2 linked regions of the Callithrix jacchus genome follow. The protein of the gene in region 1 interacts with the protein of each later gene in a biochemical or structural test. Links are inferred from orthologs where the notes say so. Each region holds a gene or a part of one and is shown on either strand. Other genes may lie near its edges. The genes, in order: SERPINF2 and ELANE.

What was found.
Region 2: of the proteins of SERPINF2 (region 1) and ELANE, one has a biochemical effect on the other in vitro, tested with the Homo sapiens proteins (2 studies listed by BioGRID). The link is inferred for Callithrix jacchus from reciprocal best matches to the Homo sapiens genes SERPINF2 and ELANE.

The regions. Positions count from the first base shown.
Region 1 is NC_133506.1:66,499,053-66,503,469, forward strand, and holds the start of SERPINF2 (alpha-2-antiplasmin), read right to left. Parts: upstream 2,877-4,417; 5' UTR 2,839-2,876; intron 2,727-2,838; exon of another isoform or gene 2,625-2,726; intron 1,717-2,624; 5' UTR 1,599-1,716; intron 1,058-1,598; 5' UTR 1,054-1,057; coding exon 1,009-1,053; intron 894-1,008; coding exon 855-893; intron 742-854; coding exon 679-741; intron 398-678; coding exon 196-397; intron 1-195.
Region 2 is NC_133523.1:797,281-801,511, reverse strand, and holds the start of ELANE (neutrophil elastase), read right to left. Parts: upstream 3,084-4,231; 5' UTR 3,059-3,083; coding exon 2,992-3,058; intron 2,597-2,991; coding exon 2,440-2,596; intron 2,209-2,439; coding exon 2,067-2,208; intron 1-2,066. UniProt on the Homo sapiens protein: Serine protease that modifies the functions of natural killer cells, monocytes and granulocytes. Inhibits C5a-dependent neutrophil enzyme release and chemotaxis. Promotes cleavage of GSDMB, thereby inhibiting pyroptosis. Promotes blood coagulation.

The sequences.
Region 1 (4,417 bases):
AAGACTTGTAAATAAGCAGATTCCCCTGCCCAGTCCCTGAGATCTGATGCACACAGACCGACGGGTGGGAGCCTGGGAATCTGCAGTTTTTAACCCAGCAGCCTGGTGGAGGAGGTACCCTTGGAGAACCCCTGGAGTACCATGTTCCTACTGGCCTCCCATCTCTCTTTGTCTGGACAAGTGGTTCCAGGGTACCTAGTGCCAGGTGAGACAGCGCCAGGGCCACACTGAGGGGTGACAGGATGAGGTTGGGGCTGGTGGAGGTTTCAGCCACCAGGGAAAACAGGTCAGCAGTGAAGGCCATCATGGCCTGGGCCAGACTGTGGGTCTGCTGTGGGGTGGGTTCTCCGCTGCAGTCTCTTGGGGGACTCTTAGGGGCAGTCCGGCCACCAGGCTCCTGCGGGGACAGATGGGGGGCAGAGAGATCAAGGGGTCAGCTCCAGGTTCTGTGTTGCAGGTCCTGAGGACAGTAGGGCCTGGTCACAGCCCAAGGGGAGAGGGGGTGTCTGACGGAGGGCACTGGCATTCTGGGGCCTGGCGCCCACCTATGGTCCTCCCCACCCTCTGTCCCTCCTGGCCTCCAGATTCCAGAGCCTTGGCCTTGGTACGCCCGCCGCCCTGCTGCTGCGGCTGCCTTCCGCTAGCCCCGCCCACTCTTCCCCAGCCCCACCTGGTTACCTGGTTGTCCAGCTTGAGGAAGGTAAGCGGGAGCACCTTCTTCTGGGTTGGCCCCATAGTTAGCTGCAGAACGGAGGAAGCAGCTGGAGTGTGACCCTCCCACAAGGCCCCACCCTGCCCAGGCCACTGGTGAGACCCCAGGGCCTTCCCCGTTAGGGCTCCTCGCTTCCCAGTACCTGCTGGCCCACGGGCTCCATGGCGCTCACAGGGGAGAACTGTAGAAAAAGGGGTGAGGCTAGGAGGGCCCCCTGGAAGCCAAGCCCTCCCTCCACACAAGTGCCCCTCTTCTCCCCCTCCGCCCGCCCCACCTGGACGTCAGCCCAGCCTCACCATGGAGCAGGAGCTGAGCAGCAGGAGCCCCCAGAGCAGCACCATGTTCCTGTGGCAGGGACAGAAGGTATGTTACCATCTCTGTCCCCACGCCCGCCAGGGACTCCTACCCACACGCTCACAGACACCGAGTCACCAGCGCCCAGGGGAAGAAGCAGGTTCCAGAGTGAGAACAGCACTCATGCAGCGGCTCCCCTCCTGTGGGGCAGGACAGCCCTCCCAGCTCCTTCCCCCTTAGTTTCTGGTCTTTCACATTCCGTGCACTAAAAGTGTTTTGGTTAATAGGAGGGAAATAGCAAAACAAAAACGTTCCCCTCCTTCCAGGCCCTGCACTGAGCAGACTTGCATCTCAATCCAGACTGCCTCTTGCAAAGGACCTCGGCACTCCCTGTAACCCCACCAGGCTTGGCGTTACCTTTAAAATGGTGGCCTGAAGGCCAGGCGAGGTGGCTCATGCCTATAATCCCAGCACTTTGGGAGGCCGAGGCGGGTGGATCACGAGGCCAAGAGATTGAGACCATCCTGGTCAACAAGGCGAAACCCCGTCTCTACTAAAAATACAAAAATTAGCTGGGCATGGTGGTACGCACCTGTAGTGCCAGCTACTCAGGATGCTGAGGCAGGAGAATTGCTTGAACCCAGGAGGTGGAGTTTGTGGTGAGCCGAGATCACGCCATTCACTCCAGTCTGGGTAACAACAGCGAAACTCTGTCTCAAAAAAAAAAATAAAATAGAATAAATAAAAATAAAAATAAAATGGTGGCCTGAGTCCCTCAGTCCTCTCGCATGCTCGGTGAGGACCAAAACAAGGCCGTCTGTGTGGCCGGGCACGGTGGCTCACGCCTGTCATCCCACCACTTTGGGAGGCTGAGGCAGATGGATCACCTGAGGTCAGGTGTTCGAGACCAGCCTGGCCAACATGGAGAAACCCCATCTCTACTAAAAATACAAAAATTAGCTGGGCGTGGTGGCATAAGCCTGTAATCCCAGCTACTCGGGAAGCTGAGGCAGGAGAATCGCTTGAACCTGGGAGGTGGAGGTTGCAGTGAGCCGAGATCACGCCACTGCACTCCAGCCTGGATGACAGAGTGAGACTCTGTCTCAAAAAAGGAAGATAAAATAAGGCTGTCTTTGTAAACTGTGAGCACAATGCTTGGCACTCACCGATGGCTGGGTTCGGCTTGGCTCAAGGCCGCCTCTTCCGGGAAGCCTGCCCTAAAGCCTCCACCCCAGAGCTCCCGCCCAACCTGCTGTGTCCTCTGAGCCAGTCTTTTCAGGCCCATCAGGTCTTGCCTACAAGGCTGGACATATTTCTGAGGCCCTGAGGTCTCAGCAGGGCTGGCGAGGCGACTGGAGAGCTGCCTTCTGACCCAGCAGCAGAGCCCAGTGAATGACTCCGGCCAGAGCCGCCTGTGGACTTAGGAGAATCACAGACCGTGACCCTGACCATGCTGGCTCTGGGAAGGGCAGGGGTGGGTCTCAGGAGGACAAGCCAGAGCAGGTGTTACAGCCTCCCCCCAACCCCATCTCAGGGCCAATCCTTCCGAGGGTCCTTCTGTGGCCCCTGGCCCCACCCCTATTGCACACAAGCGCTCTGACCAGGCACCATCTCGGACCTGGGCGTTTGAATCTTCTTGCCAAGAACAGGCTCCAGTGTTTTGGGTCCCAGAGGTACTTCTCCCGGAGCCCCCGCCTTGGCTCCGCACTGCCAGAGGAGGCTGGGGAGTGACAGGCCGGAATCAATCCAGCCCAGACCCCTCAGTGGGGAAGACAGCTCCCTGCCTCCTCTGCCGCCCAGGGAGCAGGCCGAGCCACCCACCTCCCCCGTACCTCTGCCGGCTCCTTGCTGCTGCACTCGAAGTTCCTCTGGCCCCACTTGGGTGCTCCCCACCCTCTGCACAGGCTCCGGCCGGCCCGGCCCACCCCTCCGCCCACCGGGACCTTTACTCTCAGCCAACCCCGTGGAGAGTGCTTTCTCTTCTGGTAAACATTGACTGGCACATCCGGTTAAACATTGATCTTGAAGCCTGAAGCCCCTTTCCCCCAGGCGTGTGATCCTGAGGCAGGACCCCATGGATTTGGGTCCCACCTGAGCCTGGAAAGAGGTTCAGGAGGAGAGAGATGAAGAGGCTGGACCTGGGTGTCCACCCACCCCCACCTTACAGACCCGGGATAGAATGCCCACCCCCACCTTACAGACCCGGGATGGGACGCCCACCCTCACCTTACAGACTTGGGATGGGATGCCCACCTTACAGACCCAGGATGAGATGCCCACCTTACAGACCCGGGATGGGATGCCCACCTGACCTTATGGACCCGGGATGGGACGCCCACCTTACAGATCCGGGATGGGATGCCCACCTCACCTTACGGACGTGGGATGGGACACCCACCCTCACCTTACAGACCCAGGATGGGACGCCCACCTCTTCTTACAGATCCGGGATGGGACGCCCACCCCCACCTTACAGACCCGGGATAGAATGCCCACCCCCACCTTACAGACCCAGGATGGGACGCCCACCTCACCTTATGGACCCAGGATGGGACACCCACCTCACCTTATAGACCTGGAATGGAACGCCCACTCCACCTTACAAGCCCAGATCCAAGTTGGCTGCCTTCAGACCAAGCCTGGAAGGCAGGGGTGAGGGAGGAGAGATGGGAGGGGTCACCTCTCTGTGTCCTGCCTCCCCACAGCAGTGTCTCTTTCCCCTAACCCAGAGTGAGGGTCCTGGAAACACACCTGAGTAGGCTGCATGAACCAGAAGGCTTGCAGCCCATGCCGATCAGGCTGCCTCCCACCCCCATGGGCGGCTCTTAACTGCCCTGGAAACTGCCAGGTCTCCCCTTGCCCACCATCGAGATAAGCCTCAGGCTGGGCATGGTGGCTCACACCTGTAATCCTAAGTTTGGGAGGCCAAAACGGGAGGGTCGATTGAGCCCAGGAGTTGGAGGCCAGCTTGGGCCACATACCTTACAGACCCGGGATGGGACGGTGAGGCTGCAACTCTTGGAAAAACACACAAGACAAGCCACAGTTCATCCCATGGCCCTTCCAGAGGATTTATTGGTCATATTTACATCTATTGCAAATTGTGAGGAGGCAGCAGGTGCCATCCCAGGCTTCAGCTCCATTCTCGAATGTGAGGCTGAGGCACAGAGATGGTTCTTCTCACCCCTCCCCTCAGGGTCATGAAGCCCAGCAGGATTTCAGGGCCCAAAGGCTGCCTCCTCAGCTCAAGGCACAAACACTGTGGTTAGGGGTGAGAGGCGAGGCATGGGCTCACTCCTGGAGGCAAAGGGCCGCTGGCAGAGGGCACCTTCTCTTTCCTCCTTCCCCTCCTGGTCCCACCATGGCCAGACCCTGAATGGGTGAACACTTGAACCGCAGACCAAGGCGCTT
Region 2 (4,231 bases), on another chromosome or scaffold:
CCCATCTCAGACTCCACTGTGGTTCTGGGATCCTGCAGAGCAGGACACCCACCCTTCAATCTGCTCCCCAACCTGAGCCTCAGTTTCCCCATCTCAGACTCCACTGTGGTTCTGGGATCCTGCAGAGCAGGACACCCACCCTTCAATCTGCTCCCCAACCCGAGCCTCAGTTTCCCCATTCCGAGCCTCAGTTTCCCCATCTCAGACTCCGCTGTGGTTCTGGGATCCTGCAGAGCAGGACACCCACCCTTCAATCTGCTCCCCAACCCGAGCCTCAGTTTCCCCATTCCGAGCCTCAGTTTCCCCATCTCAGACTCCGCTGTGGTTCTGGGATCCTGCAGAGCAGGACACCCACCCTTCAATGTGCTCCCCAACCCGAGCCTCAGTTTCCCCATCTACAGAGTGGGAGCAGCTACCAAGGCTCAGTGTTGGAGGTTGTCCCTGGTTGTAGCTTGAGTGCAGGAAACAGTAGGCGCTCAATTAATAATAAAAAAAAACTATGGCCGGGCGCGGCGGCTCACGCTTGTCAACCCAGCACTTTAGGAGGCCGAGGCAGGAGGATCACTTGAGGCCCGGGGTTCAATACCAGCCTGGGCCACGTGGCAAAACCCCATGTCTACAAAATAAAAATGAAATGCCGGGGGCGGTGGCTCATGGCCGTAATCCCAGTACTTTGAGAAGCCAAGGTGGGAGGACCAGTTGAGGTCAGGAGTTCGAGACCAGCCCGGCCAACACGGTGAAACCCCGTCTCTACTAAAAATACAAAAATTAGCCGGGTGTGGTGGTGGATGCCTGTAATCCCAGCTACTGGGGAGGCTGAGGCAGGAGAATAGTTTGAACCCGGGAGGTGGGGGTCGCAGTGAGCTGAGACTGAGCCGCTGCACTCCAGCCTGAGTGACAGAGTGAGACTCCCTCTCAAAGGGAAAAAAAAAAAAAAAAATTAGCCACGTGACCAGGAAGTGGCTCATGCCTGTGATCCCGGCACTTTGGAGGCCAAGGGGAGCGGATCACCGGAGATCAAGAGTTCAAGACCAGCCCAACCAACATGGTGAAACCGCCATCTCTATTAAAAATTCCAAAAATTAGCCAGGCACCTGTAATCTGAGCTACCTGGGAGGCAGAGGCAGGAGAGCTGCTCGAACCCGGGAGGTGGAGGCTGCAGTGAGCTGAGATCCCACTGCTGTATTCCAGCCGGGGCAACAGGGTAACACTCCACCTCAAAAAAATAAATCAGGGCCGGGAGTGGTGGCTCACGCCTGTAATCCCAGCACTTTGGGAGGCCGAGGCGGGTGGATCATGAGGTCAAGAGATCGAGACCATCCTGGTCAACATGGTGAAACCCCGTCTCTACTAAAAATACAAAATATTAGCTGGGCATGGTGGTGCGTGCCTGTAATCCCAGCTACTCGGGAGGCTGAGGCAGGAGAATTGCCTGAACCCAGGAGGCGGAGGTTGCGGTGAGCCGAGATCGCGCCATTGCACTCCAGCCCGGGTAACAAGAGGGAAACTCTGTCTCAAAAAAAAAAAAAAATCAGCCGGAAGTGGTGGCACGCACCTGTGGGTGCAGCTACCCTAGAGGCCAAGGTGAGAGGATCGTTTGAGCCCAGGAGGTGGAGGCCGCAGCGGGCGGTGACAATCAGACTCTCCTTCTGAGCCTCTCCGGGGGTCATAACTGTGAGCCGGGACAGAGATGGAAAGGTGGGGGCTTCTGCCCCATTTCCCAAAGACAGAGACGGCCCCTGCCCTCGGCCACAGGGCCGGTGAATGGAGAGACAACAGGAGTCACAGTAAGTTTGTTGATTGACAGCAGATCTATGCTTCCCTGCTCTTTCTCATCTAATCCCTGGACAGCCCCTGGCGGGTACTTCCCCATTTCACAGAATGAAGACTGAGGCACAGAGAGGGGAGGACCTCGTCCAGGACAGCCCAGATTCCACGCCAGGTCCCCACAAGCGGCCCCTGACAGGCCCCTCTGTCTCTGTCTCTGCCTCCACCCTCTCCAGGCTCTGGCCTCCACCCCGGTGCCCCCACCCCGGGCATCCCTTCTCCACCCCATCCAGCGGCACCTGGAGAAGCACGATGTCGTTGAGCAGCCTCGTGGGGTCGAAGCCGTTCTCGAAGACGCGCTGCACGGAGAAGGTCTGGCGGGTCGGCTCCCGCCGCCTCAGGTTGTGGGCACCCAGCACCACCTGCACCAAGCGGAAGTTTCTGCAGGGGAGGGAGAGGCAGAGGTGGGGGGGTGCCCTGGGGGGGTCAGGGCTCAGCCTCGCCTTGTCATCCCCAGCCCGCGATGGGCCCTATGGGGAAGGGGCTCATGGGGTCCCTGCAGGCCCAGGATAGGCCTCCCAGCAGTCCCGGGGCCCCGGCCTCGCCCCCACCCATCCCACACACTGGGACGTGGGGGGTCCCAGCCAGGCAGGTGCGCTCCCGGGTACTCACACGTCGTTCACACAGTGCGCGGCGGACATGACGAAGTTGGGCGCGATCAGGGTGGCCCCGCAGAAGTGGCCTCCGCGCCGCTGCAGGGACACCATGAAGGGCCAGGCGTGTGGCCGGGCCGGCCGGCCCCCCACAATCTCTGAGGCCAGCGCGGGGCCTGGGGACACACAGGGTGCGGGTGCTCAGTGCCAGCCAAGGTGCCCCTTCATTCCCGGCCATGGGGCCCCTGAGTCCCCCACCAGGAACCCATGGGATCAGGGCTGTTCACACGCCTGATGTTCAGATGGGGAAACTGAGGCACAGAGCGGCAACGGGAGCTGCCCATGGTCCCCCTGCCAAGGCACAGCTGAATCTGGACTTGAACCCAAAGGGTGCCCAGTGACCCTCAGGTTTGCAAACCCCCAGCTCTGGGCTCCTGGTGTGTCTTTGCCTTCTCCTGGTCTCCTCGTCCCAGCTGGCACCTCCCCCATGAGGATGTGGGGTCCGTGTGGAGATGTGGGAGCGGACACCCAGGACAGACGGTGCAGCGGGAGGATGGACACGCAGACTCACCCCCCAGCAGCAAGGCCAGCAGGACTCGGGCAAAAAAGAGGCAGGAGGGTCGGCGGCCGAGGGTCATGGTGGGCTGGGGCTCCGGGGTCTCTGCCCGTCCTTGACAGCCCGGCTTCTCTTATAGCTCTGTGCCGGGAGTCCGTTGCATTGCCCCACAGCCGGCTGGCACCCCCTACTTCCTCTCCCCTGGCACAGGGGGTTGGTGAAAAGGGGGGCAAAGGGGGACAAGAGGCTGGGGTTGGCTCCGGAGGGGACTCACAATTGCATTCGAATGTCAGATCATCAACATGGTTTTATTTATTTGGAGACCGAGCCTCGCTCTGTCGCCCAGGCTGGAGTGCAGGGGGCACAATCTCGGCTCACCGCAACCTCCACCTCCCGGGTTCAAGCAGTTCTCCTGCCTCAACCTCCTGAGTAGCTGAGATTACAGGTGCCCACCATCCCGCCCAGCTAATTTTTGCCTTTTTACAATTAGCTGGGAGAGACAGTGTTTCACCATGTTGATCAGGCTGGTCTCGAACTCCTGACCTTAGGGGATCCACCCACTTCAGCCCCCCCAAAGTGCTGGGATTACGGGTGTGAGCCACCGAGGCTGGCTAATTTTTTTGTATTTTCAGTAGAAATGGGGTTTCACCGTGTTGGCCGCGCTGGTCTCCACGTTTTTTTAAAATCTGAATCTGTCTCAAACGATGCCCAGGATATACTTACTGGAAATTCCAAGTTAACTGAGCATTGCTGTGTTTTTGCCAAATCTGCCAAAACTAGTCCTGAGGGGCCTCGACAGGGGTTGCCCTCGCCTGCCTCAGTTTACCCCGGGCACCGGGGTAACAGCCACGTGCGGCCGTGTCGGGCACTCACACCGCAGCAGGCACTCCCCTGACCTTTCCCAGGGCTCCCGTTTGGGATGAGGAAACCCAGGCCTTCCCCACGGGCAGAGCCACGAGTTCAGCCCAGGGCTCTGGACCCACAGCTGGATGGGGATTTGGGGGCTCCCTCCAGCCTTGCTCCCTGAACCTCAGGGCTCACCCCCAGGCCTGGCCTCTCCCTCTCGCCCACCCCGGCTGTTGCTGACAACGGGAACTCACTGTCACCGAGGCTCACGGTCAGTCCTCGGACACCAGCCGGGGCTGTGACACTGTCACCCACCCTTCTGCCCCGCTGAGCTTCCCCGTGCCCTCCCCGCCTGAGCCAGGGGCTGGGTGGGTGGCCACCTGGCAGGGGTGCTGGTGAGAGGCCCAGA